Ovis aries: one gene and its partners. The protein of the gene in region 3 binds, or shares a complex with, the protein of the main gene of each other region. Links are inferred from orthologs where the notes say so. Each region holds a gene or a part of one and is shown on either strand. Other genes may lie near its edges.

The links. The genes of interacting proteins can lie anywhere in the genome.
Region 1: the proteins of NCBP1 (region 3) and PHAX are in contact, whole or in part, in a cryo-EM structure (PDB 8PNT), measured with the Homo sapiens proteins. The link is inferred for Ovis aries from reciprocal best matches to the Homo sapiens genes NCBP1 and PHAX. Residues at the interface, in NP_002477.1 of Homo sapiens: Cys380, Lys381, Pro384, Pro388, Gln389, Leu391, Ala392, Thr395, Phe417, His420, Leu421, Asn423, Phe424, Gln425, Arg427, Trp428, Ser429, Asp432; in NP_115553.2 of Homo sapiens: Ile114, Asn115, Asn116, Ile117, Trp118, Gly119, Val121, Leu122, Glu124, Gln125.
Region 2: the proteins of NCBP1 (region 3) and NCBP2 are in contact, whole or in part, in a crystal structure (PDB 5OOB), measured with the Homo sapiens proteins. The link is inferred for Ovis aries from reciprocal best matches to the Homo sapiens genes NCBP1 and NCBP2. Residues at the interface, in NP_002477.1 of Homo sapiens: Glu32, Cys36, Leu71, Thr74, Val75, Arg77, Leu78, Leu79, Ser324, His325, Trp326, Lys327, Glu328, Arg329, Lys330, Ile368, Val370, Met371, Thr374, Glu378, Asn415, His419, Ser422, Asn423, Gln425, Lys455, Arg458, Leu459, Ser460, Tyr461; in NP_031388.2 of Homo sapiens: Gly4, Leu5, Leu6, Lys7, Leu9, Arg10, Ser11, Asp12, Ser13, Tyr14, Glu53, Glu54, Gln55, Tyr57, Glu58, Leu59, Lys62, Ser63, Asp65, Lys67, Ile69, Tyr89, Asn96, Arg99, Tyr100, Asn102, Gly103, Thr104, Arg105, Leu106.

Annotation. Positions count from the first base shown.
Region 1 is NC_056058.1:25,001,126-25,005,534, forward strand, and holds the end of PHAX (phosphorylated adapter RNA export protein), read right to left. Parts: intron 2,155-4,409; coding exon 1,885-2,154; 3' UTR 901-1,884; downstream 1-900. UniProt on the Homo sapiens protein: A phosphoprotein adapter involved in the XPO1-mediated U snRNA export from the nucleus.
Region 2 is NC_056054.1:192,213,270-192,218,383, reverse strand, and holds the end of NCBP2 (nuclear cap-binding protein subunit 2), read left to right. Parts: intron 1-1,930; coding exon 1,931-2,186; 3' UTR 2,187-2,619; coding exon of another isoform or gene 2,620-2,691; 3' UTR 2,692-4,119; downstream 4,120-5,114. UniProt on the Homo sapiens protein: Component of the cap-binding complex (CBC), which binds co-transcriptionally to the 5' cap of pre-mRNAs and is involved in various processes such as pre-mRNA splicing, translation regulation, nonsense-mediated mRNA decay, RNA-mediated gene silencing (RNAi) by microRNAs (miRNAs) and mRNA export.
Region 3 is NC_056055.1:50,020,217-50,025,271, reverse strand, and holds the start of NCBP1 (nuclear cap-binding protein subunit 1), read left to right. Parts: upstream 1-1,637; 5' UTR 1,638-1,943; coding exon 1,944-1,977; intron 1,978-5,055. UniProt on the Homo sapiens protein: Component of the cap-binding complex (CBC), which binds cotranscriptionally to the 5'-cap of pre-mRNAs and is involved in various processes such as pre-mRNA splicing, translation regulation, nonsense-mediated mRNA decay, RNA-mediated gene silencing (RNAi) by microRNAs (miRNAs) and mRNA export.

The DNA.
Region 1 (4,409 bases), on a different chromosome or scaffold from region 3:
TTTATATGCCACTATTTTGAGTGTAAATCAAACTTGCCTTAACCCAAACCAATCCAACCCATTTTATCTCCTAGGTTTTGAATTCAATCACAGAGCATTTTAGGTAAAAAAATAAACTCATTCTAATAAAGGTTATGAGTGAGGATGAGCACCTAAATTACTAAGCCAGAGACACAGAGGGCTATTACTGTTAATCCTACTAGCCAGCAAATAGAATGTTCGGCTGAGCAGGGAGAATGACTGTAATGTACGCTGGTATGGTGACAGTATTAAGGGAATATATTTCTAGCAAGAGTTTGTACAGACATTCCTAGATCTGGATAATCAGAAAGGTTTAGAGAAGAGTAATGTTAATAAACAAAACTTTAAACCTTAAAAACTGAAGCACTGGTTTCTATACCATTAGGATGTAATACAATCCAGAAATCTGTAGTTTACAAATGTTAAGAAAATGAAAACAAGCTAGGAAGCAGGGTGGGGGAGAAATGAGCCATCCACTAAAGATGAAGTAGCCTGAGACATTCTTCAAAAACTGTTTTAACTTTCACTAGAAAAATCAGTAGTATTTACAAGGATACATGACATTTAGATTTCTGACTGTTATCTTACTAATATACCAGACCTTTAAAATCACCTCACACAAAGTAATCCCAGGAACGGTGGTAATCATTTTACAACGCATAAAAATACTGAACCACTATGCTGTACACTTGAAACTAATTTCATACTGTAAGTCAATTGTATTTCAATTAGAAAAAAGTTCTTCAAATAAATAAAAGGTTAAAAAAAACTTTAGGGACAATATTTAAATACTTACCTATTTAAAATGCTTCTTTCCTTGGTTATGGCAATTTTATGAAAGAAAATTTGAGATTAAAAAATAAAATCACTCGAATCTCATTGATTTCCAGAATTCCAATTTTATTTCTGCATTCTTTATGAATAAAATGTAACCAATAACCATTTTCCTCTTCCTTCCCTGCTTAGATCCAACTTCAATGATTTATGTGTTTCAAAAATTACTGAAAGACTTCAAGTACATTATTGCAAAGAATAGATAATAACTGCTTCCTACATATTTTTGCTTACTCTGTAAACTGTGGTCAACTCTTGGGGACACCTTAAGTAAACTACCTTTATTTTCTTAAATAAAAATGAATAATTTTAAACATCATGCAGAAGAAACATTTTTAATACCTAACTTCCTTAACATAAGGTAAAACTGTCTTAGGCAGGCCCACTGGGAATTTCTTAAATGTCATTGTAATTATGCACATATGGATTACATTCAGTATTTAAAGATATGACCAAAGTAACTAGTAAGTCAAAAACAAAGTTAAAGTTATGAACCGATACTTCTTTGAAAAGCTTCTGATGTTTATTTACTTCGGAACACACACATAAGTGGGAAGAGCCACTAGTATAAACCTATTTTTAGTTTCTATCATTAAAAGCCTAAGAGTTCTTAAAACACAGAAAAACTAAATTTGAATGCATTTGTAATAGCTTAACAATTTATGTCTTAATAGGATCTTCTAATGGAATGTTTTGAAACCAATCATAGTTCATTGCAAAGATAAATCAGAAAAACTTTTGAACGGCATGTTATAATAACCTGGACAAAATTGATTATCAACTAGTAATAATTAGCACATGCAACAGATTAAGAAATTAAATCTTCCACTATATACTTTTAAATACTTTGTCAGACATGAGAAAGTTGTAAATGTTCTTATCACATTCATCTCCCACATATTCAATTTTATTTAAAACAAGGTAACAGTTCTCTCCAGATTTTTGTGTTTATCAGTGCAAAGTAAAATAATCTCAGTAGAAATGGTTTATTACAATGTTATCTTAGAAAGGTTTATTCCTCAAAATGTACTAAAACATGTCCAAATCGTGAGAATGATCAACCTCAATGGCTTCCTCTGCATCCAACTTCGTTTCTCCATGTCCTTCCTGTGATTCATCAAGAGAGGCCAGGGCCTCATTAGTGTCACTTGCAAAAGTCTCTCGTGATGTATCATCATCTTCTTGAAAATTTAGGTTTTTAATGGCTTGTTTCATCTTTTTCCCCATCACTTGCATTCTTCTCTTTCTAGCAGCTTTTTTATTTTCATATTCCTTTTGATTTTCAAGGTAGAAAATGTCCTACAATAAAGGAACAATTTTAATAAACAAGAACAAATACTATTTATTAAAACTACCATATCCTTAAACCCCCTATTATGTTGCCTTCACAACAGTGCGAAAATTCACAATTTTTTCAAGTGTCTACTGAAAACCCATCCAAACATCTTGATAAAAACAATTCTAACTAGTACAACGCTTGGCAATACTAAATTACATTATGAAGTCCCCCCTTTCCCTCCAAATACAGTAAACCTTATTAAAGAGGAAATGTCATTCCCATGGGTTATATCCTTAAATAAAACAAACCCGGGAATGGCCTAAAGAAATGTCTTTTTATCATATTGTTAATGTGTTACAACAAATGCAGAAAATAGATAATCTGAGAGAAATTTTTCTTCTCCCATCCACAAGTTAAGAACCTAGTGCATACTACTTTAAGAGGGCGATCGTTATAGCTGGACTTTAAAAAAATACAGCAAATTAACCTCTAACTATTCTTACTCTTTTTATCTCCACAAACTTTGTATTCTGTACAAGAAAAATAATAAGGCCACTTACTAAAATAAAATCAAATGAGAAAAAGTTGAAAACAAGCCCACTCAGTTCAGTTCTGGCTTCCAAACTCTACAGACTGTGATTGTTAATAACAGTGACTAAAGAGTGACAATAAGAGGGACTGAAAGAAAAATTATAACACCATTGTTTGAATGAAATATGAAATTACCTGCAATAAAATTATATCTACCTTCTGATTTTTCTTTCTAGTAACAAAGGTAGTCAATCCATGTACAACAGAAAATTTGGAAAAAACAGAAAAAAAAATCTTAAAAGCCAAAACATTTCTAACCCCTCACAACAGACCAAAGCACTGGTAACATTTTGGTGTTTTAACTACCAATCTATTATCCCATGACTCTTTTTCTTTAAAAATCTGTACTCTGCCTTTCAGCTATTATTTTATTTTCTAATTTTCTTAGAATTGCTTCACAAAAATAGAGGCTACACAATAGTTGTTTTAAGAATGTCCTTATAAGTAAACATTCCCCTATTATTGGATACTATTAAAAATGTTTCCACTGTTTATTATAACGCAATGTTTCTGACAGTTTAGGATAAAAATCTACACACATTAAATTCCCTTCTCCACAACAAGTTAGAAGAACTGAATTTCAAAGACCAGTGATTCAGCGGAAACAACATGGGTCTGAAGGCAGAGTCCTGTGTGATCTCAGACCTGTCCTTTTCTTGCTTCCATCTGCAGAGCAGGGTGACACCCAATGACAGGCTGTCAAGAGTAAGTCCTGTAAATATTGGCCTTAGTGCCAGCCTCACAGGAAATAAATGTTCTCCTCTCCTGCTTCTGGAAATTGTTTGTCCAGATTTAGTTATCAAGAAAAAGCTTTGTTAGATATCATTTCATTTAACTCTTTTATAGTAATATTAAACAGGCAGCGCACATATTACAGTCCTCACTTTATAGATGAAAAAATCAAGGCTGGGGGAGACAGTAAGCAATCTTCTCACAGTCTACAATTGCTAAATGGCAAAATTAAGATTAAAACCTAGACTTTGAATCTTAGAGAATCCTTTTCATCACATCATACTGTATCTTTCAAAAGAGTGACATTTTGCCATCAAACAAAACCTGAGAAGAATGTTCCTTCTAAGTACACATTTCTGGCCAGGGGTAATATTAGGGGAGGAGGGAGAACATTAAGGTATTAATATAAGCTCTGTTCTATCACTCAGAAGTTGTGTTCCCAAGGAAATCCACTTCATTACAAATTCACGTTATCAAAATAACTGTCCAATGAGGGAAAAAAGCACTTAAGGAATACAGATTCCAAATGTGCAACAACGGGAACATTTCTTGTAGGAATTTCAGTAACATATTTTTTAAAAAATGACCAAAAGTGAATAGTGAGGGAAAAAAAAAAAACACCTGAGCAAATGCAAAATATGCTCACATGGAGCATCAGCTCAAGAGAAAAGGCTTTTAATTTTGTGTCACCATCAGCCTTACATTAAAACAGTTAAAGCACATTCCTATGACCTTTATCACCCACTGGTATAATAGAGAGAACACAACATTTCTCAAATCCTGCAGCTGTGTTGCACGAGTACCACCTCCTTCCTAAGAAGCCAGTTTTTTATTTTGATCAGATGTGCTGAATGCCGTCATGTTCCTTAATTAACAAATTAAAAGATACCAAATTCTGAGCTATGAAAAACCCACACAGTTTTTTTCCAAATGACATTCTAGTAATACAAAA
Region 2 (5,114 bases), on a different chromosome or scaffold from region 3:
TACTTCAGAAAGTTCAAAGAGTGTATTGAAAAATAAAAGCCCCATTATCATTCTAAGTTCAGAGACATTAGCTGTCAATCTCATTGGTGTCTTTCCAGAAGTAATTCTGTGTATGTGCAGTAGCATATTGTATGCACTTTCTTTCATCTACTTTAGAGATTGTTCCATGTTAGCACATGTAGGTTACCTCTTTTTATAACAGCTACATAGTATTATGTAGATGCATATAGCTTGATGCTTGTACATGTCATAACCATATTTACTTGTGACCATTCTCTCCCTGCAACCTCTCCATACATTTGACCACCTGGATTTACCCTTTCATATTTTGTTTTTTAACTGTTATTTTCTTTTTTGGTTATTTTGAGAAATTTTCCAGACCTAGTCCACCATGTCATTTGAATTTTCTGTGCCTTGAATTGTTTCTTTCCATTGTATTTATGCTGTAAAATTTCCTTAAATTTCTGGTGATCCCTTGGTTTCTGGGGGAAAAGGCTGACTTTGTGGATCTAGGCAGATCTTCTTAAGTTGTTGCCTTGCCTTTGGGACATGTGGGTTTCTTAAATGCTAGAATGAAAAAAGATTTTAGCTTGCTGATGTTAAAGACAATGCCATAGTTCCTTCAGTCAGTAACCGTATCTTCTTTATTTGCCTGGAATTAAATGTGTTCCTGCTAAAAGGTCTTCTTCCCACATAGAGACCTTTAAATTAAACCCTATTTGCAGCCTTACTACTTAATCAACTTGGAATTAAGAGCTTCCTGGGTTTGCTGTCTCCTTTAAGCCTTTCAGGAGTATTTCCTACTGTGACTTTGTTTCACCCATTATTAATCTTTAGCTTTGGCATCTCTCATCTGCTGATGGCCTCTTCTACTCTTTGGGTATGTTTCTTTCCTGTTGTCTAATGGAGGCCCTGAGAAGGAAAAGAAGATAAAATGTGCTCACTATCAGGTTGAATCAGAAGCCCCATGTTTGAACCTATTCCCCACTTCTGACTTTGGTGTCTGATTTCTGGGCTCTGCAAGCTTCTTTCACTCCTTCAGACACAAGGGACGAGTGCCCAGGTTTTGCTTTCACTCTGGTGCCGAGAGTGTAAAATAATTCACAGGGGACAAAAAAGACAAAGAAAATATTAGATACTAATCAGTGTTTAAGAACTGGAATGTTTTTGCATTTGCCTTGAAGGTCAAAGATCAATAATCAAGATGACAAATACCCAAAAGAAAGGCTACCTTTCATTGTCAGTATCCCGCCCCTCCCCCCAATTTGCCCTTTAGCATTCATTTCATTCAACAAAGAATTATTGAATGCCCATGTGTGCTAGGCATTGTGTAGACACTGGAATTTCAGCAAGTGTTTCCCCGCCTGTGTAATTATAGACAAGGGGAAAGGTCCAGATCAGTATTTCCTAGATCCAGATATAATTACTTACATATAGTTTTTAATAGCATCCCCAAAATAGATTTAGTAGATCTGGTTTAGAACTACTGACTTGAGTGATACTTTTTGAGTGTTTCCTTCTAATGAAATGTGATGGCAGGTCTTAGGCAGTGACCTCTTTTTAAGGTGGTTCTTGAATGTACAGCTTCATATTCAGGGAACCGAAAGATGCTGTTGTTTCCTTGGATAACAGTTCGTGGTTTAAACCTGCACAGAACATATCTGTATTTTGCAAAAGAAAATATGGAGATAGTGGGATTGGGTATTTAACAGGATTATCCAAAAAAACCATCAGTGTAGCTGAGGATGAGATACCATTTTTGACTGCTTCTGGACCAACCTCAACACGCCTATAAACCAGATTAATGTCTTTGATCTCCATCTGGTTGGATTAGTTTTTGTACTCTTTAACTCAGCTTCATTTAGATGTTTCTTCCTCTATTTACAAAAATGTCTGGAGAAATGTTAATTCCTTAATAATCATAATTAAGATACTATTCAAGAGCAGATGCAGAAAATGCCATGCGGTATATAAATGGAACTCGTCTGGATGACCGGATCATTCGTACAGACTGGGATGCAGGCTTTAAGGAGGGCAGGCAGTATGGCCGTGGGCGTTCTGGGGGCCAGGTACGCAGGAAGGTTTTCTGTGCTCAGCCTTTGCCTGGGATTCCAGTCCTAAACAATGTGTTTTGTCAATTTGTATTTGCTCTTCTCAAAATAACTGTGCCTATAACCTTGGCTTGAAGTGAATCCACCCATTGGGGTTGATAAATTATTAATATTTTAAAATACCATTAAATAGTATATCTTTGCAAGCAACCATTACTGGACTTCTGCAAGGGGCTGAATATTCTCCTGCAGGAATGTTGAGCAAAGCAGAATGTACTAAAACAACTTTTCCATTTTTATTTCAGTATAGTTTAAATATTCTTTGGAATGTGCTATCTTTGAGTGCTGAGTGTGTAAGCCTGATGTTTGTTTTTTTTTTTAAAAAAAAGCAGTATTAAAATAATTTTGCAGGGCAGTTGAACTTTATCATCAGTTGCTCAAAATCATGTTACACTTAACAATGTTTACATTATGACATCTGAAAAGGCTTAGTTATTTGTCTGACATATTTTGGAAGGCATGTTTGTTACACTAATCTCTGTACTGTAACATGTTCTTTTCAATTAAGGTACGAGATGAATATCGTCAGGACTATGATGCTGGAAGAGGTGGCTATGGAAAACTGGCCCAAAACCAGTGAGTGGTTGAGAACCCCATCATGAAAGCCCACTCCTTTGGCCTGTTGAATTTGACGGGTGTTACCCAAGGTCTGCAAACCTGCCTTTTGTTTTTTGTTTTTTTTTAAACCAAGCTTTAATCAATGTTTCTACTGAGCTGGAAGCCTTGTCATGGTTTTCCTCTTAAAAATTATTAAAGAACAGAATCCAAAAAAATGCCTTTAATTCTGTAGAATTAAATCTTAGAATCTTGGTTTTGTGTCAGATTACCAAAATGATTTCTGTTACTAGGTCAAAAATTGTGTTCCTTAGCAACAGACTTCATGTATAATGTTGATGTGTCAGCCAAAAACACACTTCTTTTAGACTGGAAAAAATTTTTAAGTGTCTACCATGTTTGCATCTAAGTAGGTTCATGGTCTACCTTGGGACCTGGAATTACTATTTTAAAAATTTTAAGTTTTCATAAGATAAAGTTTAATAAGTAGACTTTTGCTATGTTATGTAGCTTTGCTCTAAATTAGGGGAACAGATGCTTGATAACTGAAGTTTTTTTTTTCTGTGTTGATTTTTAATCTGTAAAGGCAAAACTTAATGGAAATTCCTAAACAGTTGGTATAAAAGTAAGCTTTAGACAGTCCCAGGGAACACCACCTGCTTTACATGCTTTGTATATCAGGAAATAAGGGACAAGGATTGAAGGATATTTATTTACTAAACACATTTTTCAAAATGTGAGATGTGAGCGCCTTCAGATCTATTTTTTTCATTTTCAGACTGATCTTGGGAATGGAGTGTTTTGTGGTGTTTGCGTTTTTTTGTTTTTTTTTTTAAAGAGCTTACAGATTGAGAGAATGGCTTAACAAAATCAGATATGGTTCCCTTGGGAAATGTTTTGGCCAGTTCTTACATTGAAGTCTGTCTGGTTTTTTCTCCAATTGTGCTATGTTTCAGAGGCTGGACAGTCAGCTGATGGTCTCTACAACTCTCAGAAGGGAGTCTAGAGGATTTATTTTGCATTTGTAAGGCAAGAGATGATTTCTCTAATGTTACATGAATTCTTGCTCATTTTAAACTGTTAGTCTAGTGTAATTCTCCCTGACCTAAGTGAGATTTTTTCATCTAGCAACAAAGTATCTCCTACTTTCCAGGAGTTTGTGAAGTTGGGGCTGGAGTATCTCAATGTGAACAGCTTTCATGTTACAGTGTGTGTTTTCTCCAATTTAAATTGGCTATTTGGATATCTCTAAATCAGTTGTAAGTATTTAGGAAAACGTGCAAGTAATTTAATGAGGACATAAAGTCTTTTTTACAGTAGTTTGAATTAATGTATTTTATATTATTTTGCAGTAAAACATGATTCAGATTTCTATAGGCCTTAAAACCATAGACAGTATTTCATATTTGAATTGTCTTCTGTAACAGATTTCAATAAAATTGGACCAACTTACTGTGTTTTTCCTCACCAAGAGACATTGAAACACTCTTAGCCTGGAATCCATTTGGGGGGAGAATCTGCATAGTGTGCAGAATTTGCATGTCCATTTTGATCTGAGAGTTACTAATATGGTAGTCTCTTGCTATATGCTGCTAATTAAAACTGTTCCTCAGTCACATTAGCCACATTTCAGATGCTCGATTCCTGCCTGTGGTAATGGTTGTTGTAGTGGATGCAAATACAGAACATTCCCATTACTGGAGAAAGTGCTGCTACTGGACAGTGAGCTGCTTAGAGCCTATGCAGATAAGCCTTGTCGTGACTGGAGTGCCACTGGGAAAAGTTACTACTCGCCAAACAGTACATGTTACCCAACACGAGAGAACACACATTTATAAAGGCATTTAGTTTATTTTTCAAAAAATATGTTTGCTAGAAGGTTTGAGTAATTTTACATGATCATAATCTTTAAATAAATTTTTTCTGACCAAAAGGTACCATTAAGTGGACAGCTTGTCTAGATCTGCTTTTGTTAACACCCAAATACAATTAGCATGTCTGATGGTATTCCCTAGGTCTTCTTAAATTATCTACAGTCCAGGAGGCAGAGCCTAGCACATAACAAAGTATGTGTTTTATAACTGCTTATTAGTTCAGTTTCATAACAGTTCAGCAGAGCAGGTAGTCAGTACATCTAATTCACACTATTAACACACTGGTTCTTGCCTAAAGGGTCTGATCCATGCAGAGCTCCCAGTTATTCCTTCTAACCCAGGAAGTAGTACACCACATCTGCAGAGAAAGGGGGCAGCTCTACTTAGGCTACTGCTGGCGATGTCTCAGGTCTGTTTCTTTGTTCCAACTATGAATTCATGGTGACCAGTGTTAATTATATTCAATGATACATAGAAAATAAAATGCAAAGCCCAAGCAGCAGCAAGCAGCTGCTGCTTCTCCCTTTCTTAAGAGAAGATTGGTTCTCTATGATTGAGAGAACTAAAAGTGAAA
Region 3 (5,055 bases):
GCTGTATATTGTCACCCTGCTTATTTAACTTATATGCAGAGTACATCATGAGAAACGCTGGGCTGGAAGAAGCACAAGCTGGAATCAAGATTGCCAGGAGAAATATCAATAACCTCAGATATGCAGATGACACCACCCTTATGGCAGAAAGTGAAGATGAACTAAAGAACCTCTTGATGAAAGTGAAAGAGGAGAGTGAAAAAGTTGGCTTAAAGCTCAACATTCAGAAAAGGAAGATCATGGCATCTGGTCCCATCACTTCATGGGAAATAGATGGGGAAACAGTGGAAACAGTGACAGACTTTACTTTGGGGGGCTCCAAAATCACTGCAGATGGTGATTGCAGCCATGAAATTTAAACAGTTAGAACTGGACATGGAACAATAGCATACTCCTTGGAAGGAAAGTTATGACCAACTTGGATAGCATATTCAAAAGCAGAGACATTACTTTGCCAACAAAAGTCCATCTAGTCAAGGCTATGGTTTTTCCAGTAGTCATGTATGGATGTGAGAGTTGGACTGTGAAGAAAGCTGAGCGCTGAAGAATTGATGCTTTTGAACTGTGGTGTTGGAGAAGACGCTTGAGAGTCCCTTGGACTGCAAGAAGATCCAACCAGTCCATCCTAAAGGAGATCAGTCCTGGGTGTTCATTGGAAGGACTGATGCTAAAGCTGAAACTCCAATACTTTGGCCACCTCATGCGAAGAATTGACTCATTGGAAAGACCCTGATGCTGGGAGAGATTGGGGGCAGGAGGAGAAGGGGAAGACAGAGGATGAGATAGCTGGATGGCATCACCGACTCGATGGACATGAGTTTAAGTAAACTCCAGGAGTTGGTAATGGACAGGGAGGCCTGACGTGCTGCCATTCATGGGATCGCAGAGTCAGACACGACTGAGCGACTGAACTGAAGGAAGAACAGATTAGGCCAGGAGAGTGAAACAAAAGTTCCATTTCAGAGATGTGAAAATTTCATATGGCTAAGGACCAGGCAGTTAGATACGCAGCCATAGCGCTCACCAGAGATGTCAGAGCGAGGGATATTCAAATACACGTATGGAGGTACACGATAAGTATTGAAAACGTTACTAAAGCAATCACTCGTTCTTTCCTAAACCACAAGTCAGAGGATCGAGAGATCAGATGACGGCCAGAGAGTAACCCTGGAGTAGCTGGCTCACGCTTCGGAGGGTCCTTCTGTCCCCGGGTCGCTGGAGCCGCCTCGCACCCCGGCCTCACCCCGCGCTCCGGGCTTGGCCTAATCTCTCCGCCCAGCTTTCCCCAGCCGGCAAAGGCCGGGAAGTGGGAGAAAGATGAGCACGTACCCGCCCGTCCTGATCCTTTCTCAGATCTCTCTTCACCGAGCAGTCTCCGCCTAGCAATTGCCACCGCTCGCAGCCCTCGCACTCCCAGCCCCCTTCTGTATTTAGGAAGGAACGCCGTACCGCACCTCGCTCCGGAAGTTAGGCCGTTGGCGAAAGGGCCGCCGGGAAAACCCCGCGGAGGCCCCGAGAGAGGGGCTGAAGTGGAGGTGAGGACTAGAGGGTCCCTCCTAGACGACCCGCCTCCGGGCGTGGCTCGCGGCCTGCGGGGTTCGGCCTGGCGGAAGAGGCGGTGCTCTCCGCGTGGCCCCGGAAGGGCTTTCAGCGAAGGCGGGCGAAGGAAGCAGCCAAGAGGGGGAGGTAACCCGAGAGGGTCGCTGCGTGCTGGACTGAAGCCACCGGCCTGGTGAGCTTCCAGAGCCGGCTCTCCTGGATCCGAGCTCGCGGAGCCATCCAGCCATCCTGCCTTGTGCTTCCGGGAGCCGCCGCGACCGACAGCGCCTGCGCGCCGGCCACTCCGCGCGCATCGCCGCTGTCCTCCCGCCAGCCGGCGGCCTGACGGTTCCTGCCGCGCTTCGTGACCGGTGTCTCAGCTCCGCGGAGCACCAGCGTGCGGCATGTCGCGGCGGCGGCACAGCGACGAGAACGATGGTGAGTGCCCTAAGCCCGGCCGCCGAGGCCGCGCTCAGGTGGGCGGAGGTTTGGCTTCCCTGGTGTTCGGGTCTCGAGAGAAGGGACGGGAAGCCCTTCCTCTAGGAGCGTTCAGGGAGCCGCGTAGAGAAGGGGGTGGCACGGCGGGAGTGCGGCCGGGCAACTTTGGGAAAGCCCCTGCTTCCCCCGGTCCCAGTTCCTCAGTCGTTGGCCACGGGGAGGCCTGGTGGACCCCGGTCCCTAGGAACTCTTCAAAATTTGGCTCTTAGCATCGCCGAGCAGGGAATTACACCTGTGTCTGTGCCTCCGCTTCTTAGGGACCTATTCAACCCAGTGTCTCGTTTTGACCCTCAAATTGCACTTAAAAAGGACTCTCAAAAGATGAGAGATCTGCTGAGTCCCGATCTGAGCTTTCTCCTGTTCCCGTCATCCGTCGTCTTGCCTTCTTCCAAGCGATAGGGAAAGAAATCGGTCTTATCCACACCCAAGAGGTCTCTTAAGAAAGAGATGTACGTAGATTGTTGTGTTACATTTTGAGCTGAGTGTAAGCATAGTTCCCTCGTGTAATAGAGTGTTGGAAGACTAACTGGAGAGCTCCTAGAGATTTCGATCAACCATTTGGATGGTTGAGCTCATGGGGATCATGGAGTTGCCATGTAATAAAAACCAAGAATAATTTTGCTAGCTAAAAATAGAAAAGATATTTATCTTGCAAAAATCAGTCAAGAAACAGAAACACATCCAACAAACAGAAAACCTAACAGTTATTGTTACTAATAGTTTAGGGTATTGTTCTTCGAGAAGAGTGTAGTTTGGTGGTTAAGAGGCCAGACTTTGGAATCAGAGGACTTTTCAAAGCCAGACCCTGCTGTTTACTTTGTGATCTTGCCTGGGTTATATTACCTCTTTAAACCTTACTCTCTAACTTAGAAATAATGATACGAACCTTTTGGTTTTGTGAGAGGTAACACATGTAACTAATTGCTCGTGAAGATGTGTATTTTATCACCTGATAATGCTTAAGAGCTGATAATCATTGGCAGATGGTGACTCTAATAAAAAGTACAGAACAAAAAAAATTGAATTAATTTTCTCCACTGACATTTTTCTCTCCTTGAATGTTGGGGTAACTTAGGGGTAGGAGCAGAATCCCACTAATTTAAGGTTTTTTGTTTGGTTTGTTGGTTTGGGTTTTGTTGCTGTCTCTTTTTTTGGCCGTGGTATAAGGATCTTAGTTAGGGTTAGGGATTGAACCTGTGCCCCCTGCAGAGGAAGCACTCAGTCTTAATCACTGGACCACCAGGGATGTCCCCCACTTAGTTTTAATAGTGTATCAGATTTCTCCTAGAGCTTGGCTTGGGAGGATATTCTACCCCAGCCTGCTCACCTCACACCTGAGGTCTACAGTTTTAGTGTAATTAACATGGAGACAGCATTAGCAGTGCCCAGATACCAGTGAAAGCAAGTTGAGAGTTACATTACACAGGTATTCCTATGCTGTATCTTTGATTTTTATTAAACACAACATAATGTACATACAGGGCACAGAAAATAGTTTTCGTGTGCTTTGTATCTGATTTGTTAATTTAATCTCCTGGAAGTCATCGCTTGGGATTTGGAGAACTTGGGTCTTTTAAAGTTCTTCCCATTGTCTTTGTTCTTCTCATGCTTTCTCTACTCTTTCATCATCTCCTTTCTAGGGTATCCCTAAAGGGAGAGAAAATCTTTCCAAGGGGCATCCTGGAGAATTGGATGTAAATTTGTAGAAAAACAACTTTTGCTTTGGTTATTGGGATGCTGGTATAACGTTCTTAGGAGTTAGCTTCTGGCAGCTAAATCACTGTTCATTTGGTGCAGAAATCTCAGAATAAATAAAGACAAAACAAAATAAGGAGTTAATTAAGCAGCGTTTACTATAAATAATTTAGTAGTTGAAGGGCAGTTTATAACCCCTCTTAGATACTACACCAAGTCTGGAGCTTTCGTAAATTGCCACAATTTGGGTAATCATCAGCTAGGGTTTATTCTAAATGGTGATCTGAGTCACATATTTTAGGTAACTTTCTTTTGGTTAAATGCCTACTAAATTTTTTTTTAAACCAGAAATTTTGAAAACTTAAGTATTATAGAAGGCTGTTTTAAAATAGGCCAAATTTTTGTTGTGTTAAATAGATGCATCTAAGCATTTCTGGATTATTGTCAGCTCTTACCAGTCCCTAACTGCCATGACTCTCTGTGTGCTTGACTAGACACAGTAATTTATTCAACAAATATTTAACAGTGCCAGGCACAGTTCTAACTCCTGGCAGTACAGCAGTCGACGATAAAAGGTGCAGTCTCACTTTTACAGGCAGAGAACAATCAAGTAAATACAGTGTATCATATGGTGTTAAGTATGGTGGAGAAAAATAAAACCAGTTAAAGAGGGTAGGGCTCTTGTCAGGGAGGAGTTGCTGTTTTGTATTGGTTTGTCAGTGAAGGCCTCACTGAGAATGGCATCTGATCAAAAACCTGCAGGAGGTGAGGGTGTATTTACATTTGATTAATTAAAAAGTGGGGGAAAGCAGTAGTCTAAGCAAAGGGAGCCTTGAGTGCCAAGGCCTTAAGGCTAGAATAGTCTTGTCATCTTCAAACAGCAAGAAGGCCAGTGTTGCTGTAGTAGAGTGAGAAAGGGGGAGAGTTGTAGGAGATGAGGTCAGAGAGGTAAGGGAGGATCAGCTCACAGATACAACTTAAAACTGTATCTGTTGAGACTTCAGAGTCCAGGATCCAAGGCTATACCCATGAAGCTCACCTGGAGATGGATTTATAGACAGTGAAAATGGAAATAAATGTGTGTGGATATTGGTCCAGTGCTAAAACTGACTCCTTCCTTAGACTCTTTGTAAGAATATCTGAAGCTTTTCAATTATTCTGGATATGCATACAGTAGCTGTTCGATGTATTGTTTTATTCTTGTAAGACAGTATTTATATTGTCCATAACCTTGGCCCAAAACCCCATGTTAGTCCCTTTTAAGCTACTTAGTATTAGATCCTTACCTTTTAGAATGTAACTCTTTTTTTAAATTGATACTTA